7 linked regions of the Mus musculus genome follow. The protein of the gene in region 5 interacts with the protein of the main gene of each other region in a pairwise test. Links are inferred from orthologs where the notes say so. Each region holds a gene or a part of one and is shown on either strand. Other genes may lie near its edges. The genes, in order: Trip6, Dtnb, Ift20, Krt20, Abi2, Etl4 and Tle5.

Region 1 (2,043 bases), on a different chromosome or scaffold from region 5:
ATGCACCGAGCAGGTCAGCATCGTAAGTAAACATAGGATCCGAGATGATGCCTCCCTCTGGAGAATGGCATGGAAAATTGAAATCGATGAGCACACCAGGTATATTTGTTCCTTCTGGAGCAAGACCAAGATGAAGAAAACAGGCCACTGGCATCTGGCACTGTGGTGGCTGGTGCAGCCCAGATCTGCGACACCACTTCTGCTGTTGTATCTGGCATCAGAAGTCTGAAGGACTTGAAAGACCAGCAGAAATCCAATCATCTGAGACATCCCTAGCCTACAGTAAACAGGTTAATTTATGTAACAACAACAATAGTACAGGATGAGAGTTAATAAAAGATATGCAGGATCTCATTATGTAGCCCCTCACTGTCCTGGAACTTAGTATGTAAACTAGGCTGGGCTCAAACTCACACTCTGCCTCCGCCTCCTGAGTGCTGGAGTTCAAGCTTTCACCAGCCTCATCCTGTGAGACTCCAATAAAGAACAGACTTGGAAGTGCTTTTAAATGCTCCAGGGATTATTATTTCATGAAGAGAGGAAGAAAAGACAGCATTTGATGGCAAACACTAAGGGTAGATGTTGGGGGAAGTGACGGACGGACGGACGGGGGCTGAGATCCCAGCAGGTACTTCTCAGAGCAGTCAACAATCAGTGGTGACAGTGGCTGAGAGCTCTTGGATACGCCAGGCGCTGCAAGCCTTGCACAAGATGTGCCCATCCAGCGGGTAGCAGCCTTGACACTCTCCCTCAGAGGACAGCAGCAGCCCACACTCCTGTGAGAAAGAACAAAACCTTCATTAGCCTGGGACTTTCCCACAGTGCTTTTCCCCCAGCTTCCCGGGCTCTGCAAAGCTCTCGCTCCTGCCCAGGGACCCCCCCTCACCTCACACTTGTAACAGCCGATGTGGAAACTTCGATCCAGAGCAACAATTCTCACCGTCTCCTCCTGACCTGGTTCCGGCATGATGGCCCCACCACACACTGAGCATCGTGGGGCAAATTTCCTGCAGTGGAGGGGAACCAAAGAGGCTATCAGGTCCCTCCCTCCCACACCATCAGGAGACTCAAAATGAAGCCCAATGAAGGTGGAAGGGGCAGGGGTGGGGATGAGAAGGATATAAGAGATGTGTCTGGGTCTTGGGGAAGAAAGTGGTGTCAAAGAAAGAGAGCACCAGAAGGTGGAAACAGAAGAGGCAGACCCTGGGACATGAAGAAATAGGTCAGTGAAGACATGCTGAATCCAGGCAAGACCTGTGGAAATCTTCAATGCAGTGGATCTGGCTGGTGGCGTCCACTGTGAACGGGATGCCATCAAGACCACGGTGGCATACCACACAGGTGAAGCAACCAGGGTGGTACGCCTTCCCCATAGCCCTCAGGATTCGGTCCAGGATGGGTTCAGAGCATGTGGAACATTTCTCCAGGGTGGCCTAACGAAAAAAGAGGAAGGAAGGTCAGTGGAGGGAAGCCACTCCAGCCAGGAAGGAGTACTCTCTGCCCAGCCATCTGGTGTGTGTAGTTCCCTGCATGGGATTCAGTGGAAGGTGGACTTAGCATTTCTGAGGTCTAAGAGCAGCACTGAAGCCTCTAGACAAGGGATTTGGTCTCCACACACTTCATCTTTCAGTGAGATGAATCAGTAATGCCTCTGAGGAATGCTGTCAGATTTTCACAAATAACCTCAACTCTAAAATGCCTTCCAGCTGGCACAGTGGCACATATCCGGTTTCCTAGCTCTTGGGAGGCTGAAGCAGGAGAACCATAACTTTAGGATCAGCCTGGGCTACACAGTAAGACTCCGTCTGGAAGGAAGGAAGGAAGGAAGGAAGGAAGGAAGGAAGGAAGGAAGGAAGGAAGGAAGGAAGGAAGGAAGGCAGGCAGGCAGGCAGGCAGGCAGGCAGGCAGGCAGGCAGGCACCCACCCGCTTGAAAGGAGGAGCTGTCTTTCCCTCCTTCATCTAGTCTCCACAGTTAACTCATTCCTTAGCCTGGGGCCATAGCTCAGTTGGTAAAGTGTTTGTCCAGCATGCACGAAGCCCTG
Region 2 (4,010 bases), on a different chromosome or scaffold from region 5:
GCCAGTCTGATTGAAGCAGGTGGCATGATCTGCCTTTCCATAAGGTGCCAGAAGGCTTCAAAAAGCATCCCTAAAGCACACAGGCCTACTGCTGCTTTCCTTAACATGTGCACATCCACACGCACCAAAAGTCTAATGGATCATGCCGCTGTCTTAAAGTTGAGGGAAAACATTTATCTTTTGAGCCATTAAAAGAAGACTTTGATGTCCCTAGAGAGTTTGGAAAAGCTTCTATAAAAAATGGCAATATGAGGGGCTGGAGAGATAGCTAAGTAGTTAAGAGCACTTGCTATGTTATCAGAGGACCTGGGTTTGATTCCCCAGCATCCAGGTGTCATTTCACACTCTTCTGGCCTCGGGGTGGCACTCACAGGGTGCACACACATTGCAGCCCAAACACTCATACACATAAAATAAAGTCCTTTAAAAAAATGATATGAAGCGGGGGGGGGGGGGGGGGGTAGTGGCGCACGCCTTTAATCCCAGCACTAGGGAGGCAGAGTCAGGCGGATTTCTGAGTTCGAGGCCAGCCTGGTCTACAAAGTGAGTTCCAGGACAGTCAGGGCTACACAGAGAAACCCTGTCTCGAAAAACCAAAACCAAAAAAAAAAAAAAAAGAGTTGGTAATGAATAAATAAATAAATAGATGCTAGATAAATAAATGAAGCTTTGTCGCCCCTGCTCCGTTGCTCAAGCTGTTTAATGTCTAAATAGTCCCACTTTTAGGAACTACTGAACAACTAAGCGGAAAGTAATGTCTCTCCTTCATCCTCTCACCGCATCCGGCTGTGGCTTGGCTTTGCGCAGGGGACCAGACTCGGTCCTTCGCAAGGCTGCTCTTCTCCCTAAGTTATGCATTCTTGGGGACCAGGGGCCGTGACCCGGATCGTGTCCATCGGGCACCAGGCGCGGAGTCAGGGCTCAGCGAGCCTGCTGAGGCAATGTGGAAAGTCACTCGGGGGAGGACCCGCGCTCGAGGCAATGATTCACCGGGTGTTTCTTCGCATTCCTTAAGGTGCAGTCACGTCGGCGCAGCACGCAGCCGCCCGGCAGCTACCTGTGGAGTGGAAGGGCAAGTCCACCTCCACCTCCGCGGCCGGCGCACAGCAGAGGCCCGGAGGGGGCGCGCGAACCCGCGGGAGGGCACTCGGCCGCCTCCCCGCCCCCTCTCGCGGCGGAAGCCCCGCCCCTCCGCGCGCCCGCCCTCCGCGCGCACCCGCCCTCGCCCTCGCGCCCTCGCGCCCTCGCGCCGGGGGCGGGCTCGCTGCGCGTGCCGGGCGGGGAAGCGGCGCGAGCCGGCGCCGTTCCGTTCGCCGCGGGGGCGGCTCCGGGGCCTGAGTGGGCGCCGCCGCCTCAGTCGCTGCTTGCTGCTTCAGCCGCCTCAGCCGAGGGGGCCGGGTTGGAGGAGGCTGCGGCCGCCGGAGAGCCACGCGACGGCCCCTCAGCTCCGGCCGGGAAGCGAGCCAGGTGGGGAGTCCGCCGGGGCTGGAGGAGCGAGAAGGAGGGCTGCGGGGTGGCGGAGTGCGCGGCCCTGGAGCGGCGACCCTTGGGAGACAGCACGCCGGGCCGGGGAGGGCTCTCCGGTCACCCGCGCGCGCGGGGGCCCGCGGAGCGCAGAGCCGGGCTGCGCGCGCTGCTGATGCATCCTGAGCCCGGCTGGCGGGGAGGAGGCTCCGCGTTAGGTGCTGAAGGGGGCGAAGGCGGCAGGTCCTGGCAGAGGGCAGGTGAGGTAGGCAGGCCCTGGCAGAGGGAAGGGAATTCATTCCAGATCACCTCTCAGTGTCCCCCGAGGCTCCCGGTAGACGAACCTGTCCACCCAGGTCACCCCTGTTGGGCACAGTGTCCGGAGAAGAGGGAGGATGCAGCTGACGAATGCTTGCTGTTAAATTTCTGTGCCAGGCCTTAGGGAATCAGGGAGACCTTCCAGCATTCTCTGCAAGCGTTTATTGATTAGCTACGGAGCAGGAGAGAACCGCGGTCAGCGCCTGGGTCACGACTTTATCACTCTCAGCCATCTTTTGCTGTTGAAGTGCTGACAGTTCGGCTGTGAAAGTATGCACACAAAATGTAAAGTGCTCTATTTCATGTTTCCTGTTCTGTTCACTTCAGGTCCCTTTAGGATTTTCCCAGCCCTGGGAAACTGGAGCCGTAAGTTGCTTGGTTTGTGGAGAAAGTAAGATAGTTGAGGAAAGCTGGTGGGAACTATTGAGAAGAGATTTGAAGGATCTTACTGACATTTAAAAGAGGGGTGGGGAGGGGGAGAAGAAATCTGGAAGAAGAATCTTGCCTTCCCAGCTAGAATTAAGCTCCGTGCCTGTTTTCTGTTCAGTCCTCCGGATGTGGCCTGGATCCCAGCAGCCCTACAGTGGATGCCCACTGCAGAATGGATGGAGGAAGCAGGGGCTTGAGTGTCAGTCTCTGTAGAGTTAGGGATGATCGCTGGACTTCCTTTGGTCCTCGGATTCTCTTTTTGCCTCTTCAGGTAACCCAGGCACTGGTAGGTTAAAACAGTGGCTTAGGTGGCAGACTCCGGTGGCCTGTGGCCACTCTTCTTCATCCACGTGGTTCTTGCATGTTGTGCACCAGGAGCTTAATCTCTGGGTGGTGCTCTGGTCTTTTCTCTCTTTGGCTTTTTTCTGGTCGTTTGAGGAGGATGGGAGGGTGCTTTTGCTTAGAGAACACTTTATAATTTCTGTCCTGCCTCTCGGATCTTGGTTCTGAAGGGAGAGAATGCTTCTTTCTGTCTCTTTAGTTCTGTAAGGGCTGGACTTCTGTCCTCCACCTTGCCTGGACTCTCCAGTCCCAGGCTGCTGCTTCCTTTCCCTCGCTTGCAGTGCCTGTTGGATTACTTTGCTTGCCAAAGTAAAACTTGACCTTTTATGTGTTCTCTGAGGATTTTTAGCAGACTTAAGTGGAGCTACCTCTGAAGGGGTTGTGCAGTCAAGGTGGTGCTGGCAGAGTCTTTATGTTCACTGAATTTTGCCCAGGAGACAGAATTTCTACTTAAAGTATTAGCGTGCAGAGGATTTCCGTTTATCATTTATTTCATGTCTTGGATGTTAACATAACTGACTCCTCATATAAAAAATGAGAGCAATATTAATCCAGACTTGTCATTGCATGTATAATAAGCCTTCATTTATTTTATTTTAATTACTCTGTACTTCAGAGTATAATCATTAAGTTTCGATTAGGTTTTGTTTTAGGGTGCCTTGTTTCAGGCACTTCTAACATTTTATTTAGATATTTAATTTACATTTATTTGAAAATAAACCCTCTGTCCCCGGTTTTTTTTTTTTTAAATAGGCTCTTGCTGAATAGCTCCAGCTGGCTTGGTACTCGATATACTGTAGCCCAGGTTGTAAGCTGGCTTTGAACTTATGGCTATCCTTCTATTAGTCCCTTCTGTGAACCACCATACCTGATTAAAACAAACCTTTTCTTTCGTCTTTTGTCTTTTTCCTTTTTTTTTTTTTTTTGATAGGGTCTCTCTGTGTCATTCTGACTAACTTTGAACTTGTCTATCCTCCTATCTATGTGCCCTGGAATTACAGGTGTGCACTACTGTGCTGTCTTGATGTGTAGTTTACATAGGATGAGATGGGTAGATTTTGCATGTTGAGCTGGGTGTTTATAAAATGGTACATATTGTGGGTGTGGCGGCGCATGTCTTTCCATCTCAGCCCCTGGGAGGCAGAAGCGAGTTCATTACTTCACAGTGCCACCACTGCCTGGCTCTGAATGGTTTTTAATGGAACCCAGAGAATGCTTTTAGATTTGTTACAAGAAGATATCTAGGGCAGTGGTGGCACAAGCCTTTAATCCCAGTACTAGGGAGGCAGAGGCAGGTGAATTTCTGTGTTCGAGGCCAGCCTGGTCTACAAAGTGAGTTCCAGGACAGCCAGAGCTACACGGAAAAACCCTCAAAAGACAAAAAAAAAAAAAGTTTATTTTCTCTGGCACTTCTTTTAATCTGAAAGAGAAAAGAATAAGAATTGGAGGGCTGGAGA
Region 3 (3,969 bases), on a different chromosome or scaffold from region 5:
TTGCTTGGCACTAAATGTGGGACTCCATGGCAGTGTAAGAGGGCAAGCAGAGAAGGTTGGGTACACATGGGAACCCAGAGACCAGGCTCAATCCAGAGAGCACGCAACTTCATTCTGGTAGACCCAAGAACAATGGCCAAGGTCAGGTAAGGAAACTGCTCAAAGCAGAACAACACTGTGTCTCCAGATGGTACTCACTGTCCACAAAGTCCTTGCACTCCTCCTTGAGCTCCACAGTCTGCTGGGTGACCTCTGGGTCCAACACTCGGAGCTTGTTCAGTTCATCAAAATGCAGCCCTGCCTCGCCCAAGATGTCCTTGGCCATAGCTGCAGAGAAACCAGCAGCGACCTGAATTTCATCCCAGACACCACCCCAGCCCTCCTCATACACCCATCCCTCTGCCTCCAGCTCTCAGCCTCACCTGTTTCCCTTCCAGGAAGCCCTAGAGGTCTGCTTTGAAGGGGTGACAGTGGCAATCAGGAGGTATGTCATAGGAGCAAGGGTCAGGAAAGAGGAAAGTCCAGTTGCTTGTCACAGACATCGTTCATTCAACATACATTTCTTGAGTGCCTACTACATGCCGACACTGCTAGATGCTGGGCGTAAAGATGAATGCAACATGGTGCCTGCCCTGGAGCAGCACAGCTTAGCTGGAGGAAAACAGACACGTGAACCTGAAGGATTATATTGCATCAAGTGATTTTTACAGAAATATCACTAAGCAAGGAGAAAAGACAATTTCAGTTCACTTGGGTGTATCTGGCCTAAGCTGCGAGCGAGATAAAAGCATAGTCATAAATCCCTGTTTAAGGTCCCAAAAAGGCTTTTCAAATGCATGCCCTGAAATGAAAAACAAAACAAAACAAAAAGGATGAATTTTAAAATGAGAGTTAAAAGCTAGCTATGGTCATGCGTGACTCTAATTCTAGCAACTCACTGTGTTGCTAGAAGACTGACACACGTTTAGGACCAACCTGGGCTGCATACTGAGTTCCAGGCTATCCTGTGCTACACAAGCCCTTGTCTCAAAAAAACAAAAAACAAAAAAACAATTGCCTTCCTGTGTTGTTCTAGTTGGATAGTTTGAGTATTTAAGAGCTCCTAGGGACTAACTGGACCAGGTCCTATGGAAGAGTTCATATGACATGAGACTGCAAACACTTGTTTGAACTCCTACTGCCTTCTGAGTTAACATGCATTTATCAAAAACAAAAACCCTTATTGAATCCCAGCTCCAAGGACAGAGTGAACATAGTGTCTCTAGACAGACAGTAAGCAAATAAACACAAACTGTGATCAGGGTATGAGGAACAGCGCTCAGTGCTCTGTCAGGATTCTACAGGAGGACATAACTCAAGTAGGCAGAGAGGTCAACAAAAGCCTTCAGAAAAAACAATCTGGGACCTAAACACGTCCAGAAAATCTTCTAAGAGAAGGGAGAGGGACATTGTGGGCATAGGGAAAAGCATATGGGGGCGTCCTAAGGCTGGAAGATTTTGACACAAAGGGTCCTGGGATCAAAACAGCAAGAGGGAGCAAGGCTGGCAACCGGCTATAGCTGGATGAGTAAATGAACTTGGGTTTTGTTTTGTTTGTCGAGACAGGGTTTCTCTGTGTAGCCCTGGCTGTCCTGGAACTCACTTTTGTAGACCAGGCTGGCCTCGAACTCAGAAATCCACCTGCCTCTGCCTCCCAAGTGCTGGGATTAAAGGCATGCGCCACCACACCCAGCTGAACTTGGATTATTTTTTATAATGATAACCGCTAGCAGTGGATTTCGGCAGTGCTTATTGATCAGAGTTGGAAAGATCACTCACTGCCTTGGCCAAACAGAGGGAACAGGGAAGAGCAGAATAGAGGCGTCCTTTCCAAATTTCTCACTGTGAGCCAAGCATCTCTAAGCAGGCTGCCTGCAGGTAAGTGGCACTCTGATAATGTTTGCAGAATGAATGAATTCATGTGGAAACAGAAGGCTGTAACAGAAGAAAAGATTTGAAGCCGAACGGGAGTTCAGAGATCAGATGATGTCTGAATTGACAGAATTTAGTAATGCTTAATGCAGCACTTTGGAGAAAAGTGAAGAAAGGAGCCAAACACGATTGCCATGGATCTGGATTGGACCGAGAGTATGGCTGGAAAGGACAGTTTAAAGAGATGGGTAAGATAGATATGGTACATAGCGGGCTATCAGATCCCCAGCCCACCCCTAACTCCCACCACAAATATGCTCCAGGAACGTGGGATTGAGTTTCCTAAGCATGAAGGCTGTGCCTGGCTCTACGCTCCCTGGCTCTCCCAGGTCCGCAGGCACAACAAATAGTTGTAGCTGTGGAGTTTGGAGAAGGCGTAGACACAGGAAGAACTGGGCAAATGGCGCGGCTGTCTTTACTAAATTATACTCCTGCAATGTCCGAACCTCGGTTCACCGGTGACATCGAGGGAGCCAGGCTGAGCTGAGTGTAAACCCGATCCCTAAAAACTCCGAGGTAGGGAAACCGCCGCTTTCCACCCGGTCCAGCCAATCCTCGGCGCTGGGTCACGTCGGCCTCCTCCCGTCCCAAGTCCTCCACGTCCCCGACCTACCTGACGAGCCGCCTCGGCAGCGCTCTGCGGCCCTGACGACTGTCGGTAGAAGCTTCTCTCCGGCAACTGCAACCGGCTGCTGCCACGGAGACAAGATCTAGGAGCCACACGTCACCCCCGAGTCCAGAAGCACCAGCATCCGCCCACCCTGCGGTGCTTGCTGGGAAATAGATGCAACACGCGATAACTGCCCACTAGGCCCAGAAGCCTTTGCTCAGGGGGCGGGGACTACGACACGGGAAGTAGATTTGTTCCCGAACCCGGAAGTAGAAGGAAGTCAAACGTCAAGTTTTCGACCCACTGCTAGCTCGCGCGCTGTGCATGCCGGGTCTTGTAGTCTCTTTCCCGATCTGTAGGGTTGGGCTGTAACTCCGGAGTCGGCGGGCGCAGGATGTGAGCTCACAGCCGAGATTGCAGGCAGCCGCAGGCCAGAGGTGGCACCGAGTCCGCTTGCTACTTGACTGAGACTCGGAGAGGCGTCCCCGCGGACGGTGAGAGCCAGAGGTGCGGGTGCAGAGGGGAAGGACAGGCTCTGCTGAGTCCTGGGCAAAAGGCACGGGATGGCGCGCGGGGATGAAGTTCAGGTCTTTTCTGGGGATGGGAGGCACCACGGATCTCAGTTTTTCAGAAGAGGAGGGGTGTGGCGGGAGAGCAGCCTACACTGCAACGAGAGACATGGGATGTTTCTCCATTTCCACTGGAGAGCCTTTGGGTGAAACATAAGAGCCGCTTCCACGATTTCTGACCTTTCTTGCCAAAATCAGCCTTCCCACCTCGCCGTACCTCGTGTCCTTCCTTTAGAACCCCAAGTCTTTGAACTACCGTGATCGTTTGCGCTTTGTTCTGCTTGGCTTCGCATTAGGTTCCCATAGAGACACGTGTATGTTCCCCAGCCCCAGGATTACCCCTCTATCCACAGGCGAAGTCCTGAGGAAAGAGCCCTGAAACTATCAGTGGAAACTTCATCCTCTCAGAAATTTCTTTCTAGGGCGTCACCTGCCATTGGACTCTTGGACCTAATTGGTCTGGGTGGAATCTGGTCTGACGTCATCTAGGACTCAAAGTAGCTCTTAGGAGGAAAAGAATAGATTAGCTCCGGATTTGACTTCCTCAGTTGGCAAGCCTAGTCACTTGGGTTTCTTTGATTTGGCAGAACGTGTTTATGTGCTTCCTTGATTCTGGGGAAATGGGACTGCACACAAAGTATGTGAGGAACTTGCTAAAACTTGTTGAGGAGTTGATTTTTTTCCCGCTTTGAGGTAAGGCGGTCAGTCGCTCACCAGTCTAGCATTGTAGTGTTACTGTCAGACTCCCGGAGCTCGTTTCCTCCATGTTCCATCACTGAAAGCAATTAAGCCATCAAAAGGATATGCTACTTAATATAG
Region 4 (4,090 bases), on a different chromosome or scaffold from region 5:
ATACATACAAATGCATACAAACAACACACACACACACACACCCCCAAGACATATTTTTACCGTGGTTTAGAGAACCTACTTCAATCTGAAGTCCTCTGCAGCCAGCTTAGCATTGTCAATTCGCAGGACGCACTGGGCATTTTGTACTTGAGCATCCTTAACCTGGGAAATGTGAGAGGAAGGAAGAATGACATTTTTCCCTGGGCAGGCAGGAGTGTAAGATCATTTTATTGGTCCTCAGAGACAACTGTGATTAAATCACAAGTGATGCCCATTTCGCAAATGACCATGGAAGAGCAGTGACAGAGGTATTCATGTCATGATTTGGCCTAGTTCCTTCCTGATTGTACAAAATGAGAGCTGAAGCCACCCACATCACTGGGCCTCTGTGAGCGCCTTGTCTGTGGCGCTGCTCACACTGGAACATTGCTGTTATCCCTTCTCACTTGGTGAGCTCCAGCTTCCTCACCTCTCAGCTCAGACAACACTTTCAAGGCCCCTCCATGATATCTTCCAGTTATAGCAGCGAATGCGCCGCCGTGGCTGTTGCCCTGCACAGCATCCCTGCATCTACCTCTCTGAGTGATGGTTTCTGTGGTCTGTGCCTGTTTCCACTTAAAGCACTTGCTATCTGTAGGAGTTAGGCGCAGGACAGAAGGATGGATACATCCTGGATCTGTGTGCATCTCTCTCTGTGTGTACATGTTTATATGCACAGGTGTATGTATGTGGAGGTCAGAGGACAATCTTACATGCCATTCCTTAAGTGCTACCTTTGTGTGTGTGTGTGTGTGTGTGTGTGTGTGTGTGTGTGTGTGTGTATGGCAGGGTCTCTCATTGTCTTGGAACTCACCAAGTTGGCCAGGCTGGCTGACCAGCAAGTCCCAGGAATCTGCTTGTTTTCCCAATGCTGGGAGTACAAGCACACACAGTCATTCTACAGCTTTGCTTTGTAACCTGGGGACTGAAGTCAGGTTCTCATGTTTCAAGGCAAACACCGTATTAAGAAGTAGATTAGAAGTCTACTTCTAGAAGATTTTAGACATATCCCTTTCAGCGGCTATTCCTGGAGAGAGGTCCCTAACCACTGGTCACTAATGGCTGTGCCTAAGTACTATGGGTAATCCCCAAGTCAATTCAAAAGCGTCAACCATGAGAGAAGTGCTTAATTTGAATTTTGTGTTGTATCGAGAAGCCTGAAGGACCGTCCTGTTGATGAGAAGGGCAATGTAAGCACCACACAGCTTCATGGGCTATGAAGTCTGAATTAAGCTGCATTGATGCCTGTAATTCAAACAGAACTCAAGACAAGAGGCCTGTGGTTAAGACAAAGGTCTTTGCTCTAAAGGCCTTTGCAATCATTTCGAGATTTAAACAAAACCCAAGGGGAGGCTTTTCCTGATGAGATAAGAACCCCGGGGCTGGGCAAATGGTGTGTGCCGATGCTTGAGGTCCTCAGTCAGGAGCGAAGTCTCCCACTTTTATTCCATTGGCTTTATAGAAAGGGGAACCCCACCTACCATGGATGACACAGGAACAGATTGTGATATGACTGTAATAAACTTAAATTGGGGGCAATAGAACATTTTATTATCACAGAGGTGCATTATAAAATGCTTGGTGATAGTGAGGAGATAATTAAATAAGACACTAAAAAATCCAGGTATCAGAACCGTGTATGGTGGCACAGTTCTTTAACCCCAGTGCTGAGGCAGTGGAGGCAGGAGGATGGTGAGGTCCAGACTAGCCTGGGATACACAGATCTTGTATCAAAGAGCAGTTCATCCATCCATCCATCCATCCATCCATCCATCCATCCATCCCCTATCACACAACTATTTATCAATCAGTATACATATCATTAATATCTGTAATCTGTATCCACCCTGAACCCTTTTGTTATTTATACCCATAGTAGGTTAATATATTTGTTATAACATTCATATAATGAAAGATGAAAAATCTCTTTAAATCAACTTGAGTCTTCAAAGTTAGTAAAGACTACTGGCAAACTCACATATAGAAACCATTGGAGGTCTTTGAAAAATAAGATTATCCACAATGAAGACCTTATATTGTAAGCCATAACAAAGATTTGAACTGCAATTTTGGATGATAAAATGATCATATTTTATATATAATTAGTTGAAGTTTTAGAAAAAATGTGAGTTAGACTCATCCTGTTTACAGATACCACATGATAAAATACATTTTTTTTTCAATTATACATTTCAACCTAATCTGCTTCATGTGTTCGAATTCACCTAGCATACATCTCTCAATCCATTAGGCAACTAAACAGTGAGGTAGAAATTACAGGCTTCATGGCTCACCTGATTTTGCAGCTCTTTAATCTGTGCGTAGTAGGAGCTATAGTCTCGGATGGTGCTCGGCGCGTTGGTTTCGTACCACTGCTTGATCTGGGCTTCAAGTCTGGAATTGGATTGCTCCAGGGAGCGCACTTTTTCTAGGTAGTTTGCCAATCTGTCGTTCAGGTTCTGCATTGCCAGTTTCCCATTGCCCCCAAACAGGTCCGATCCGTTGGAGAGATCACCCCCGTAGCTCATTACGGCTTTGGAGACAGAGATGCGAGTGCCATGGCCTCCAGCCCCACCATAGACGCTGGGTGCAGCCCCCAGACGCTGCACAGTCCCCTTCCTATACAGCGAGCCACTCATGCTGAGTGCTGGGCCTTGTGAGGAGGAACTCAGACTTCGGTGAAAACTTTGACGACTGAAATCCATCTGGGATGTAGGGAGGCAACGCCTGTAGCCTGGACTTGGAGCACAGCCTGTCTGTCTCGGGCTGCTGTGGAGATGACCTTTTATAGAGTTCAAGAGACTCCTCCTCTGCTGCCGTGTCACCTCAGGAATGACACAGTCCACCTTCCTGTCTCCCCTTCCCCCTCTTTTGTACGGCAATACGTTTCATTCCATTCCAGAAATTTCTACCAGAGGCACTTTTTAAAGGCTTTCCTGTGGGGGTGGTGGGAGTGGAGGTTTCTTTTTAATAAACAGAGATAACAAAAAGGACGAGGAAGGGGTGTCCTTTCAGGTCTTGCACCTGCCCTGGCAGGTTTTTTTTTTTTCATCCTGTATACAAATAAAGAATATTTACAATCTATATGAATAATTCAGGCATCGAACAAGACAGCTGTGGGAACATAATATAAGTCACACTGGTGAGAAAAGACAATGGCTTGTTCAAATGATTTTCTTTTAAAAAATGTTTTATGCTTCTTTAAATTTTTTTTTTACTTTTAAGTTTATCCTTGTTTAGAATTTATATTTACAGTCTATTGAAATGTCTTGAGTGAAGCTGGGTGTGTGGGTGTGCACCTGAGATTCTAGCACCCGGGAGTCAGAGGTGGGGGGGATCAGGACTAGTTTGAGGCCAGCCTGGTTGAAGTAAGGTGTTCCAGTCTAGCCCAGTGTTGTGTAACAAGACACTGTCTCAAAGTGCAGCTCCCCCCACCCCCGTTTAAGAATTGAATACGGTCAGTAGGTGAATATGTAAATGATTATCGGTGGGCGGTGGGTCAGTTGATTTTGGAGTTTTTTAAAAAAAGATATTTTAAATAGCATTTTTGGATAATTTCATCCATGCACATGTAGCGTATCTTGATAAACTCCTCTCCCACTCGCCTCTCCAGCTGCCTCCGAAGCGCCTAACACAACCCCACCCAAACTTCATACCTCTTTTTATCTTTTTCTTTTTAAAAATAACCAACTGGATCTAATTAGTGCTGCCTGTATGCTTGTGGGTGTGCGGCCTTGGACTGGGTGTGTGAGCAGCCTGTCAGAGGTCATAGATCCTCTGCCTGGCTCCCAGCAGCCTGCAACTGCCAGGAACATCTAGGTTAGCAAGGGGACCTTATTTAAAAAAAAAAACAAAAACAAAAACAAACTTGTTATAAGAATCTTGCAAATATTTTTAAATCTAGTGCTTCTTAAAAAAGAAACAGCAACATTAAATTACTGCGAAACTCCTGCTTTTAATAACTGGCATATTGCATATATTGCATACTGCTTCCTCTGTCTGAGGCCAGCTAGACACCACCAGGGGATTCTTTTTGCTTCTATCTTCCTAA
Region 5 (3,500 bases):
TGAGCCATCTCTCCAGCCCCTGAAAAATATATTTTAATGCAATATTTTATATAGCAAATTACAAACTATGTTTATAATAAACTCATAAATTATACTTCAAAGGACTTTAAGATTATTTAAGTTGACTGATGTTTTATTTAAGATTTCAACCTAGTGCTAAGGAGATGGCTTAGCAGGTAAAGGGCTTGCTGCCTAGCCAGACAGCCAGGGTTGTATAAGTTGTCCTCTAATCTACACACGCACACGCACACGCACATGCACACTCTCTGTTGTATGAATGTGCCCTCCTTATAAATAAATGTAATCAATCATTTTAGAAAAGATTTTAACCTCAAATACATTTTGCTGGGATAGGAAAATAAATTTAACTGTTAATATGATGCTGGTTAGTAAATGTATCCTTTTTTTGAGACAGGGTTTTTCTGTGTAGCCCTGGCTGTCCTGGAACTTATTCTGTAGATCAGCCTGGCCTCAAATTTACAGAGACACACCTGCCTCTACCTCCCAATTATTGGGATTAAAGGTGTGTACCACTACTACCTGGCTACTAATAAAACATGTTTTAAAAGATGTCTTTGTCCTAATTGGATTTTGAATGGTATTCTATTTAGATAGCTTCTATAATAATCCTTATGAAGATTTTTCTGTAATGGATGAGTAAAAATATGGACAGTCATTTGGTTGAGATATACAACTCTGTTACACTAGTCCAACTAGTTAAAAAGAGAAATCTTGCAAATGCCCAGAAATAATAAATGGCCCCTAACTAAGAGTTAATTTTAGCAGTTAAATGATAACATAATAATAGGTACTTGGCTGTGCTTGATAGACTTAATATTGATGAGAATTTAGAGTGGATCCAACTTTATAAAATTCATAGTTTTCTTTTTTGAAGATCTTAGGCAATGCTTTTCTCCCTGTTGTCTTTTGCCCTTTCTCCTTTTTATTTCCCCTTTTTCCTCTTCCCCTCATGGTATAGCTTCTCCTCCTCTTCCTGTCTTCCTGTCATTCCCTTCCTTGCATGCCCTGTTGCTTGCTGGTGTTCTTTCATGGGTGGCCTTTTCCTGATATAAGAGGGCCCCTGACTGAGTGGGCACCAAGTGAGGGTAAAGGCAAGGTCGGATTTGAGTTATAGATGGAAACTGGGTGGATTAGGAAAGAATGTTTCCGGTTGATGTTAGCAGTGTATAACTCTGAAGAGGTAAGATAGGTTGAAATGAGTTATAAATGGATAGGTTTCTGGGGTGATGATCATTTTTGATTCAGATTTCATAAACTATTTTATGACACAATCTGGCTATAAGAAGATGAGTATATTGAATTGTATAAAGATGGGTTTGACTTGGCGTTAAAGCATCAAATGTTTTGTTGAACTATTTTGTTTCCTTTTAAACAGTGTTTTTTGTTATCACCACCTATTTTAGAATATGGCTGTATCAAACATTTTTTTGTTTTGTTTTTGTTTTTTTCCCCCAGAATTTAATTCTTCGTTTAGTCTCCAATGTTTAATGGCTGCTTTAAATAATTATTTTTTGGACAGGAGGGGGAAATTAATCTCTTGTGTCCTATAACAATACTGTAGACTAGATTATTTATAAATTATATTAGTCTGACTATATTAGTTCTGGAGGCAGAATATCTAGTATCAAGGTTCCTTAATCTGGTGAGAGACTTTGTACATAGAATAAAAAAGGAGAAAATCCACTTTTGATAATGGTATTACTTACTCATGAGAACAGAACCCTTATGACCTGATAACTGTTTACAGCTGTGGTCTTTTAACACTGGTGTGCTAGGGCAACGCTTCCCAGCCTTCCTAAGGCTGTGACCCTTTAATACAGCTCCTCAAGTTGTCATGACTCCAAACGTAAAATTACTTCATTACTACTTCATAACTGTAATTTTAAAACTGTTATGAGTTGTAATGTAGCTGGGCAGTGGTGGTGCATGCCTTTAGTCCCCACACTTGGGGATTGGGGTGGGCAGAGGCAGATGGATCTCTGTGAGTTTGAGGCCAGCCTGGTCTACAGACTGAGTTCCAGAAAAGGAAGATAACTCAGAGAAAACCTTGTCTCACAAAACCAAAAAAGAAAAGAAAAAAAGAGAAATATAATGTAGATAGGTATCTGATACGTAGGCTGTCTGATGTGTGACCCTTGGGGTGAGAATAGTTAGCTATACTGGAGACTTGGTGTTGGGACACATTCTGTCTGTACATTTTAATTAATTGTGCTTTTAAAAAAATAGTCAATTAAAAGAAAGTCAAAATGTTAGCTTTTGATTTAGATGTTAGTTTTCCAAATGCAATATTTTAATTTTCTTACCTTTATGCTTTAATACAGTATCAGCTGTCATCTTTCATTAATTTGGATAGATACTGTGGTTTTTAATAATCTTACTAGAAAGTGAATGATATACTTAGAAAATTTCATTATTTGAGATGAGTTTCCTTTAATGATGCGTTTGTGTTCTGTTCATTTTCCAGGTCATCCTGTTCAGTTCTACAGCATGAACAGGCCTGCCTCTCGCCATACACCACCTACAATAGGGGGCTCGTTGCCCTATAGACGTCCTCCTTCCATAACGTCACAAACAAGCCTTCAGAATCAGATGAATGGAGGTCCTTTTTATAACCAGAATCCAGGTTAGATTTCTCTTTATCAATTTCTTTTCATCTCTTTTATATTGCACCATAAAAAACAAAACCTTTTTGTTACACATAATTAGCCCATACATGATAGGTGTTTATCCTAGACACATTTGGTAGTTTAGACTATTGTTGAATGAATAGAAGGATGGATGAATACTAAGTTTTTAATACTACTGTATTTTTACTTTAAAAAGTCAATACATGATTTTTATGTAAAGCTAAAGAGCTCATCCTGCTCTTCCTCCATTGGAATAGTTTTCTGTGTGCCTAGTAATTTGCTTTTAAAAACTAGTACTGAATTGGGGCAATGCTGGTGCACATCTTTCCAGCACTTGGGAGGCAGAGGCAGGTGGATCTTTGACTTTGAGGCCAGCTTAGTGTATACAATGAGTTCTAGGATGACCAGCTACATTCATGGGGCAGAGGCAAGGAGAGAAGCCAGTCTAGGCTGCAGAATGAGAGCCTGACTCAAGTGGAGTGTATATAAGAATAGTATTTTTGTTTAATGAGACATCATTGCTCTATGAATTACACAAGTAGGTGTATAGAAAGGTGTTTTGCATTAGGCAGTCAAACTGTCTTAACATAGTTATTAAATCCAATACTGTGGTGGGCTTTGGAGAAATCGATTCACAAAAATTAAATAAAGAATTGAATCATATATTATAGAAAAGCTACCCTTGCACATTTAATGCTACAAATAATAGTATTTTGTTCCTTCCTTGGAGAATGCAAGAGAAAATTTAGACGTATCAACTACATGAATATATTATGTTAACGTACTGTTTAATTTTTAATTTTGGCTAAGAGGTAATTAAGCCTGTGTGAGGTCCTCTGACAAATCATTCCA
Region 6 (4,059 bases), on a different chromosome or scaffold from region 5:
GGAGTTATAGATGGTTACGAGCTGCCAAATGGGTTCTGGAAATCAAACTTGGGTCCTGTGGATTAGTAGCCAGTGCTTTTAACCACTGAGGTATCTCTCTAGCCCACTTAACATGGTTTCTTTATCATACAATTTAGGACACTTTCCAATGGAAAATGTGCCTGTGATATGAAGCAGGTCTATAAGCCACATCATGCTTACGTGATACAGTGCAATGAGGAGCAAGGCATATTGGACTTGGGATCATCTAGTTGAGCCTGAACCATCGTTATATTTCTGTGACACTCTCAAGTTCAGAAAGCAAGAGTTCCATCAGCTTCCATAATGCCAGACACTGCAACAGAAGCCAGAAGCACTAACCACAGGCTAAATGGTAGTCAGATATTCTCTGTTCCAGAGCTCTGTTCAAATGCTCAGCTTTCCACTGAACAACTGCATGACCTTGAAGCAAGCACGACATCAGCCATGCAGAGCCTGTTCTCTAATGGGTAGGTAACAAAACGTTCCCCTTTGGCACAACTATGAGGATTAAAGATGTCACATAACTGTTAGGCATGAGGCACACATGGATGGGACAGAGAACAGCTCTCACTTTGTGCATTGTGATTATCTATAATACTGAAAACCAAAACACACTTTTTTGCCTCCAAACCCTAGCAAACTAAGTTCAAAGTGTGTTTTTCAAATATATTATCTAGTTGGGGATTAAAAAAAAAATCTCTGGATATGTTCTGCTCTGCTTATCAAAGGCTGCCTCTAGTGCTTTCCCAACGGTGTATAAATTACACAGGCCACTCTTCCCCCTCCAGACCAACCCAAACCACATTCCATGTGGTAATGGGTCAATTTCTTTACTTTTTTCGCCCTTCTACCACATTCCACACCCAAAAAGATGCCAGTTTTCAGTTCCTTTGAAAGTGAATTCTCATCTGTATTTTTTTTTAAAAAGCCCTTTAAAGTAGTTGTAAATTCTTTGAGAGCCCTCCAACCCCAACCATCAGCAAGTAGTCACCAGAGAGAATTACTGCTGCTTTCGCCAGAATCCTCCCACAGAGAATGGAGGCTTTGTAGTGAGCAGCACATCCAGCCATGGTTGACTCTTTGATCTTTGATACTTTGGACAACTCTAAAGAGAAAGGCATTCCAGCCCCAACCACACACAGAGAGGGACACAGGTTATTTATTGAAGCCCCCTGACTCTGAGCTTAGCCTGGCTCTCTAAAGACTCACATACACACATCACTCTGACTAGCCAAATTGCTCCTGTCCCTTGCAGTTGTATCTAATAGGAAGGGAGTGGGAGGTGGTGTGGGAATGTCTGCTCTTTGGCTTCTCCCTGGGGTGAGAAAGGTAGCTTGGCAGAGGCAGTCACAACAATATTTATAAAGACAGTAGAAAATAGAGTCCATATGTGTACAAAGGGAAATCAGAGTAAATCACTAGGGTGAAGAACCCTCTCGATTCCATTTCTGAGGTCTGGCAGCTTCTGGAAGAGTGAACAGAGCCAGTCACTCTAGGCTTCAGTACATAGAGCCCCTTATTCACATGTGGCCTTTTTCTGATCAAGTCCGACAGCCCTGAAACTTCCCAGATGACTCAAAGCAGACTCTAGCTCTCTCAACTCAGACACTGTTTTGTAAGCCTGGTCACCCCAGGAACTTCGTGTATCAGAGCTGATACTGACCTGGAAACTATAAGTTCTTGCTTCTGAAGTTGCTGAAGGACAGCTTAGTAGCTTCCTATCAATGACTCCTAAAACTTCATATCCAGGACCTGCCTTCTGTCTGGTGTGCTGGCTCTGTGATGTGTCTGACTTTCGGACTGGGTTTCAATATGAAATTCCCACACAGTTCATATTGTTGGACTCCTGGCTCTGAGCTGATGGTACTGTTTTGGGAGGTTTGGGAAACTTTGGGGGTAGAGCCTGGCTCTTTCCTATTTTCCCCTGCTTCTTGTTCATTGGGAAGTGAACAGGTGTCTTCTGTCATATATCCTGATGCCATGTTGCTCTGTACAAGGTGAAGCTACGTGACCAGGGAATAAACCCCATGAAACTGTGAGCCCAAATAAACCCCTCTGCCTTTAAGTTGTTCTCTCAGGGATTTGGGGCACCACTATGCAGAAAGTATTTAGGATAAACCAAGAACTAAGTTAAATAAGAATGCCACCATGGTAAGAACTGTTCTCTTTGTGACCTTTCTCTGGGTCCAATGATATTAAACTGATGGATTTGTGGTGAAAGCTCAGGCTGAATGAATCTGGCTAACTTCACTAGGTCATTTTTGGTCTAAAGATGCAAGGCCGTTCATGCAGACCAATTTGGACAAAGAAAGCATGCATGGTCTTTGAGTATTTTCTTATTCTATAGAGGTTATGATGGCTTCTAGCCAGAGTCTGAACAGAAAGATAGGCATATCAATGTCAAATAACATAATACCCATCCTGAAAATTTGTACATATGCTCATGCTATCCTCTACAAGATCAATAAATAACAGGTAAAGCAATATTCAGCTGCATCTCAGGAGTATGTGTAAGAAAGCATCATGGTTTGACTGAGACATTTTAGTCCCTGAGCTCAGGGAAGAGTTACAGAAGCCACACTCTACAAATATTGCTTTGCCTAATAATTCATTCACTCATCTCATGATTCAGTAAAAAGTCAGAACTCACCTAAGAAGACAACAGGGTGGAGGACAGAGTGACATATAAGTAGTATAATCCTTTGAGGGCGACTTTCAGGGGTCCTGGGCTGCAGTTCCACCTTTGTCTCTGGAGTATGGTATGGTCAGTTACAAACTTAGGATCCCAGTATTTCCATCTGTAAAATACAAACAAGACTGTAAGTCTTCACTCAGTAACTGCTTAGTGAATAATTAGAGTCTCAGACTGATTGAAAAAGTGCTGGTATGTGGAACGGGATATACTGGAATCATATGCATGGCTATTCAAGCTCAGTGCTCTTAACTGGTAGTTTTCCATCTTTTGTTTTTTAACCAAAACATGAGCTGGATAGCACAAGGCAAGGTAAACACACTGCACACTAAACTAGACCAACCTTTAAAATACCAGCAGGTTTCTATGGTCAAGGGCAAGAGGACATGAGGAAAGGCTGATTGGGAATCAGAATGACACAGAGAAGCTGAGTCCCCTGTGACTTAATGCCATGCACTGTCCTCAGAGAGCACAGCATACAGAAAAACTGTATTCTATGACCCAGAGAGCACAGCACTCAGAGAGACTGCATTCTCTGACTAAGCTAGTCATATAATCCCAGGCTAAGTGGGAAATGATGTGAGCTTGTGGACAAATTCAGAGGGTGGATCATCACAAAGAATTCTGCCTAAATAAAATTGTCCAGCCTCAAACATTTTAAAATTATTGCAGAGGATGGCAAGCAAATCTATGTAGGGAATATCTAGGGTCATTGGGAAGCCCCTGAAAACTAAAGCTGACATTCCATTCTTCCTCTACCATCAGTGACCTCCATGTGACTAGGAGCTAGGGTGATTTTGCTGATGGCAGTGAACCTGGTACACACAGAATAGACCAACTGTTGAGATGAGCAGTGCTTTCTCCATGGGTACTTGTTGCTATAAATCCCTCTTGGGGTCCAGAAAAACACATTTCAAGTGGAAAGAAATAGTGGACGACCATAAGAAAGACCTCCTTGACCAAAATTGGAAAACACTTTTGGGGCTTGACTCAAACTTCCAGAATATGGGCTAGCTCATGGAACTCAAGTTAGTTATTGTACTGAGTTCAATTAACTATTATTTAAAACATTAAATTTGTATTTAATTATTTATTAAAAGCATGGCTTTGGAGTCAAAATGGTCGTCTATATACTATGTATAGTCTAGGAGAGATGAATGTCCCAGGTGTCAGGAAGCCTGAGGTGTGTGACTCTGAGACATTGAACCCAGAGATTTAGTTAGCTTCATTATCAATAAAATATAGCACAGAGCAATGAACAAACCATCAGCTTTGTCAGTCTGTGCTCAAGCTTCTACTGCTGTTTCTACAACCACTTCATTTTGAGGTTGTATGCATACTCTTTT
Region 7 (2,214 bases), on a different chromosome or scaffold from region 5:
ACAGATCCCTGCAAGGCGTCCTCAAACAGGACACAGACATGATAAACCAGCAAACAGAAAAACAAAACAGAAAACAAAGCAGATAAAGAAAACAGGTGGCACACAAGACTAATCCCTGGCCTTGGAAAACAGAGGCTGGAAAATTTCTGTGAGTTTGAGGAATGAGTCCAGGGCATTCAGGGCTATACAGAGAAAACCCTGTTTCAGAAAAACAAGAAAGGAAAAGGTCCCCAAACCGAGGCGCATGCCCAGGGGACAGCCTAGCTTGGGAGGGGTACAGGGAGCATCCAGGCCATCTCCCAGAAGGTAACCAAGGGACCCATGTGGGTACCACAGCCACCCTGCCAAAACAGTGTGAAATCTGAGCACTGAGTTGCACTGTCTGGGCCCAGGTCCCCAGCTCACCCTCTCTGGGTCTTTGGTTGCTCCAGGGATGTCTTATTGCAGGACACGGGGTGCCCTGAGGAAAGGGGTCCCCACCCACAAGACAGAAGCAGGGACACAGTGGCCAACCTTTTCATGTTTTTATTTTGAAGGCACAGCTAGACCCCATCCTCAGTACAGCGGCTTGGCCTTTGACCTCTGGACAGAGACCAAGGCGACCAACAAAGCTAACCCTATGACAGACACTCCTGGGGCTTCCTTCTTTTCCTTTCTGAGATGATAGCTATAGAATACTGGCACAAGAAAGAAATCATAAACAAACCAACTTTTAACCCTCACGTTTATTTGGGGAAGAGGGGAGGGAAGTTTGTGGGGTGCCCACCCCCACTGCAGTCCCGAGCCAATGCTTTCTCTCTGTCCCCTTCTTTTGTGGTTGAGGGAACCGGAGCTGGGGGAGCTGGGGGGAGGGGTCTGGGACTAGCAGGTGTGCAGTGCAGGAAGCAGAGAAGGGGATAGGGGCAGATTCGGGGTGCACAGGGTGGAAAGGGGCAGCTAGCGTTGTGTACATTCTGGGCCGAGATTGGTGGCTGTGGCCCAGGGAAATGTTGAAGGTGGGGAAGAACCCTTAGCCTGGGGTGTCCCTCTGGCGTCCCCTAGGCCCAGGGTGCACAGCCAGAACCAGGACTGGAGGTGTAAGCTTGGGTAGTGACAGAGCTGTGTGCTGTGTGGCCCTTAGAACACTGCGCTCTCTGTGCCTGTCTCCCCTGGTCTCCCCCCTCCCCCTTCCCCAAGAGCTAATCCGACTTCTCTCCGTCATCCTCCTGGTGGGTGTCCCCATCGTGTCCGTTCTTGTCCTCCTTGGAGAGGTGGGTCTGAGAACCCAGAGCAGAGAGTGACAGCAGGCCTGTGCCTGCACTGACTGCAGGGAGGGACGGTGGCTGGAGCCCGACAGGCAGCGGTGTCAGGGGCAGGGCCAGCGCCTGCAGCTGGGACAGCTGGTGAGCCTGGAGCTGCTGCTGTGGGGTGGGGGTGGGGGTGACAGAGTCAGCCCAGGGTCTTGTCACCTGACCCTGGCCACCCAGGTCAAGTCAGTCCCCAGTCCACCAGAGGCTCCGACTTACTCGGATGATGGAGTTCAGCTCAGGAGCCGTGACCTGCTTGGCTCTCTCGATGGCTCCCAGGACCTGCTGCTGATGCTGGAATAGGCAAGGGAGGGGACAGAGTTCTCTCAGGCAAAGCTGGAAAGGGACTGAGGGGCGGGGGCGGGGGAATGGCGACTCCTGTGCAGTAGGCAACCAGTGCAAAAGCGCAAGAGAAGTCCTGTCCTAGGGGCTCAGGGGCTGCTGGGGTGGGAGACTAGGAATCCAACTTCACAGGAATTTCCTTAGAGCTGGGGGGGGGCTCCCATCGCCTGTGCCCGCCCACCCAGGGAGCTCTTTCTGCCTTGCCACAGGGGTCTGAGTGCAGCTGCTCCACGTCTCACCTTTGCTAAGCTCAGAAAGGGCAGGTGCGTGCCCAGGGAGTGCTCAGCAAGGTGCGGAGGGGACCCCACTGCCCCCTGCTGGTGGCTTGCTTACCTCCTGTGACAAATAGGGCAGAACCTGGGCGCAAATCCCATTCAGCCTCTTCACAATTTCCGCCTGGAACACACGATTTTCCCTCAGTACCTGGGGCACTTGGAGGGGTGGGAGGGGGTAACGGGAGTGGCCTTAACGCTCAGTCTGGGAATCACAGGGCATTGAGGACATGGAGGAGGACAGTGAGACTTACCTGTTTGTGCATCTCGATGTTCAATCCGTAGGACATCTCATAGTACTGTGAGGTGGAGAG

The links.
Region 1: the proteins of Abi2 (region 5) and Trip6 interact in binary tests that used the Homo sapiens proteins (3 or more experiments, as listed by UniProt). The link is inferred for Mus musculus from reciprocal best matches to the Homo sapiens genes ABI2 and TRIP6.
Region 2: the proteins of Abi2 (region 5) and Dtnb interact in binary tests that used the Homo sapiens proteins (3 or more experiments, as listed by UniProt). The link is inferred for Mus musculus from reciprocal best matches to the Homo sapiens genes ABI2 and DTNB.
Region 3: the proteins of Abi2 (region 5) and Ift20 interact in binary tests that used the Homo sapiens proteins (3 or more experiments, as listed by UniProt). The link is inferred for Mus musculus from reciprocal best matches to the Homo sapiens genes ABI2 and IFT20.
Region 4: the proteins of Abi2 (region 5) and Krt20 interact in binary tests that used the Homo sapiens proteins (3 or more experiments, as listed by UniProt). The link is inferred for Mus musculus from reciprocal best matches to the Homo sapiens genes ABI2 and KRT20.
Region 6: the proteins of Abi2 (region 5) and Etl4 interact in binary tests that used the Homo sapiens proteins (3 or more experiments, as listed by UniProt). The link is inferred for Mus musculus from reciprocal best matches to the Homo sapiens genes ABI2 and KIAA1217.
Region 7: the proteins of Abi2 (region 5) and Tle5 interact in binary tests that used the Homo sapiens proteins (3 or more experiments, as listed by UniProt). The link is inferred for Mus musculus from reciprocal best matches to the Homo sapiens genes ABI2 and TLE5.

The regions. Positions count from the first base shown.
Region 1 is NC_000071.6:137,309,399-137,311,441, forward strand, and holds the end of Trip6 (thyroid receptor-interacting protein 6), read right to left. Parts: intron 1,434-2,043; coding exon 1,255-1,433; exon of another isoform or gene 1,203-1,254; intron 1,008-1,202; coding exon 887-1,007; intron 777-886; coding exon 645-776; 3' UTR 501-644; downstream 1-500. UniProt on the Homo sapiens protein: Relays signals from the cell surface to the nucleus to weaken adherens junction and promote actin cytoskeleton reorganization and cell invasiveness. Involved in lysophosphatidic acid-induced cell adhesion and migration.
Region 2 is NC_000078.6:3,571,181-3,575,190, forward strand, and holds the start of Dtnb (dystrobrevin beta), read left to right. Parts: upstream 1-1,210; 5' UTR 1,211-1,467; exon of another isoform or gene 1,468-1,729; intron 1,730-1,803; exon of another isoform or gene 1,804-2,052; intron 2,053-4,010.
Region 3 is NC_000077.6:78,535,192-78,539,160, reverse strand, and holds the start of Ift20 (intraflagellar transport protein 20 homolog), read right to left. Parts: upstream 2,801-3,969; 5' UTR 2,585-2,800; intron 652-2,584; 5' UTR 423-651; intron 328-422; 5' UTR 326-327; coding exon 199-325; intron 1-198. UniProt on the Homo sapiens protein: Part of intraflagellar transport (IFT) particles involved in ciliary process assembly. May play a role in the trafficking of ciliary membrane proteins from the Golgi complex to the cilium.
Region 4 is NC_000077.6:99,435,354-99,439,443, forward strand, and holds the start of Krt20 (keratin, type I cytoskeletal 20), read right to left. Parts: upstream 2,801-4,090; 5' UTR 2,745-2,800; coding exon 2,334-2,744; intron 163-2,333; coding exon 80-162; intron 1-79. UniProt on the Homo sapiens protein: Plays a significant role in maintaining keratin filament organization in intestinal epithelia. When phosphorylated, plays a role in the secretion of mucin in the small intestine.
Region 5 is NC_000067.6:60,451,119-60,454,618, forward strand, and holds part of Abi2 (abl interactor 2), read left to right. Parts: intron 1-2,485; coding exon 2,486-2,644; intron 2,645-3,500. UniProt on the Homo sapiens protein: Regulator of actin cytoskeleton dynamics underlying cell motility and adhesion. Functions as a component of the WAVE complex, which activates actin nucleating machinery Arp2/3 to drive lamellipodia formation.
Region 6 is NC_000068.7:20,288,654-20,292,712, reverse strand, and holds the start of Etl4 (sickle tail protein), read right to left. Parts: upstream 2,801-4,059; 5' UTR 2,707-2,800; coding exon 2,672-2,706; intron 1-2,671. UniProt on the Homo sapiens protein: Required for normal development of intervertebral disks.
Region 7 is NC_000076.6:81,564,658-81,566,871, reverse strand, and holds the end of Tle5 (TLE family member 5), read right to left. Parts: intron 2,200-2,214; coding exon 2,155-2,199; intron 2,060-2,154; exon of another isoform or gene 2,025-2,059; coding exon 1,962-2,024; intron 1,581-1,961; coding exon 1,506-1,580; intron 1,401-1,505; coding exon 1,179-1,400; 3' UTR 501-1,178; downstream 1-500. UniProt on the Homo sapiens protein: Transcriptional corepressor. Acts as a dominant repressor towards other family members. Inhibits NF-kappa-B-regulated gene expression. May be required for the initiation and maintenance of the differentiated state.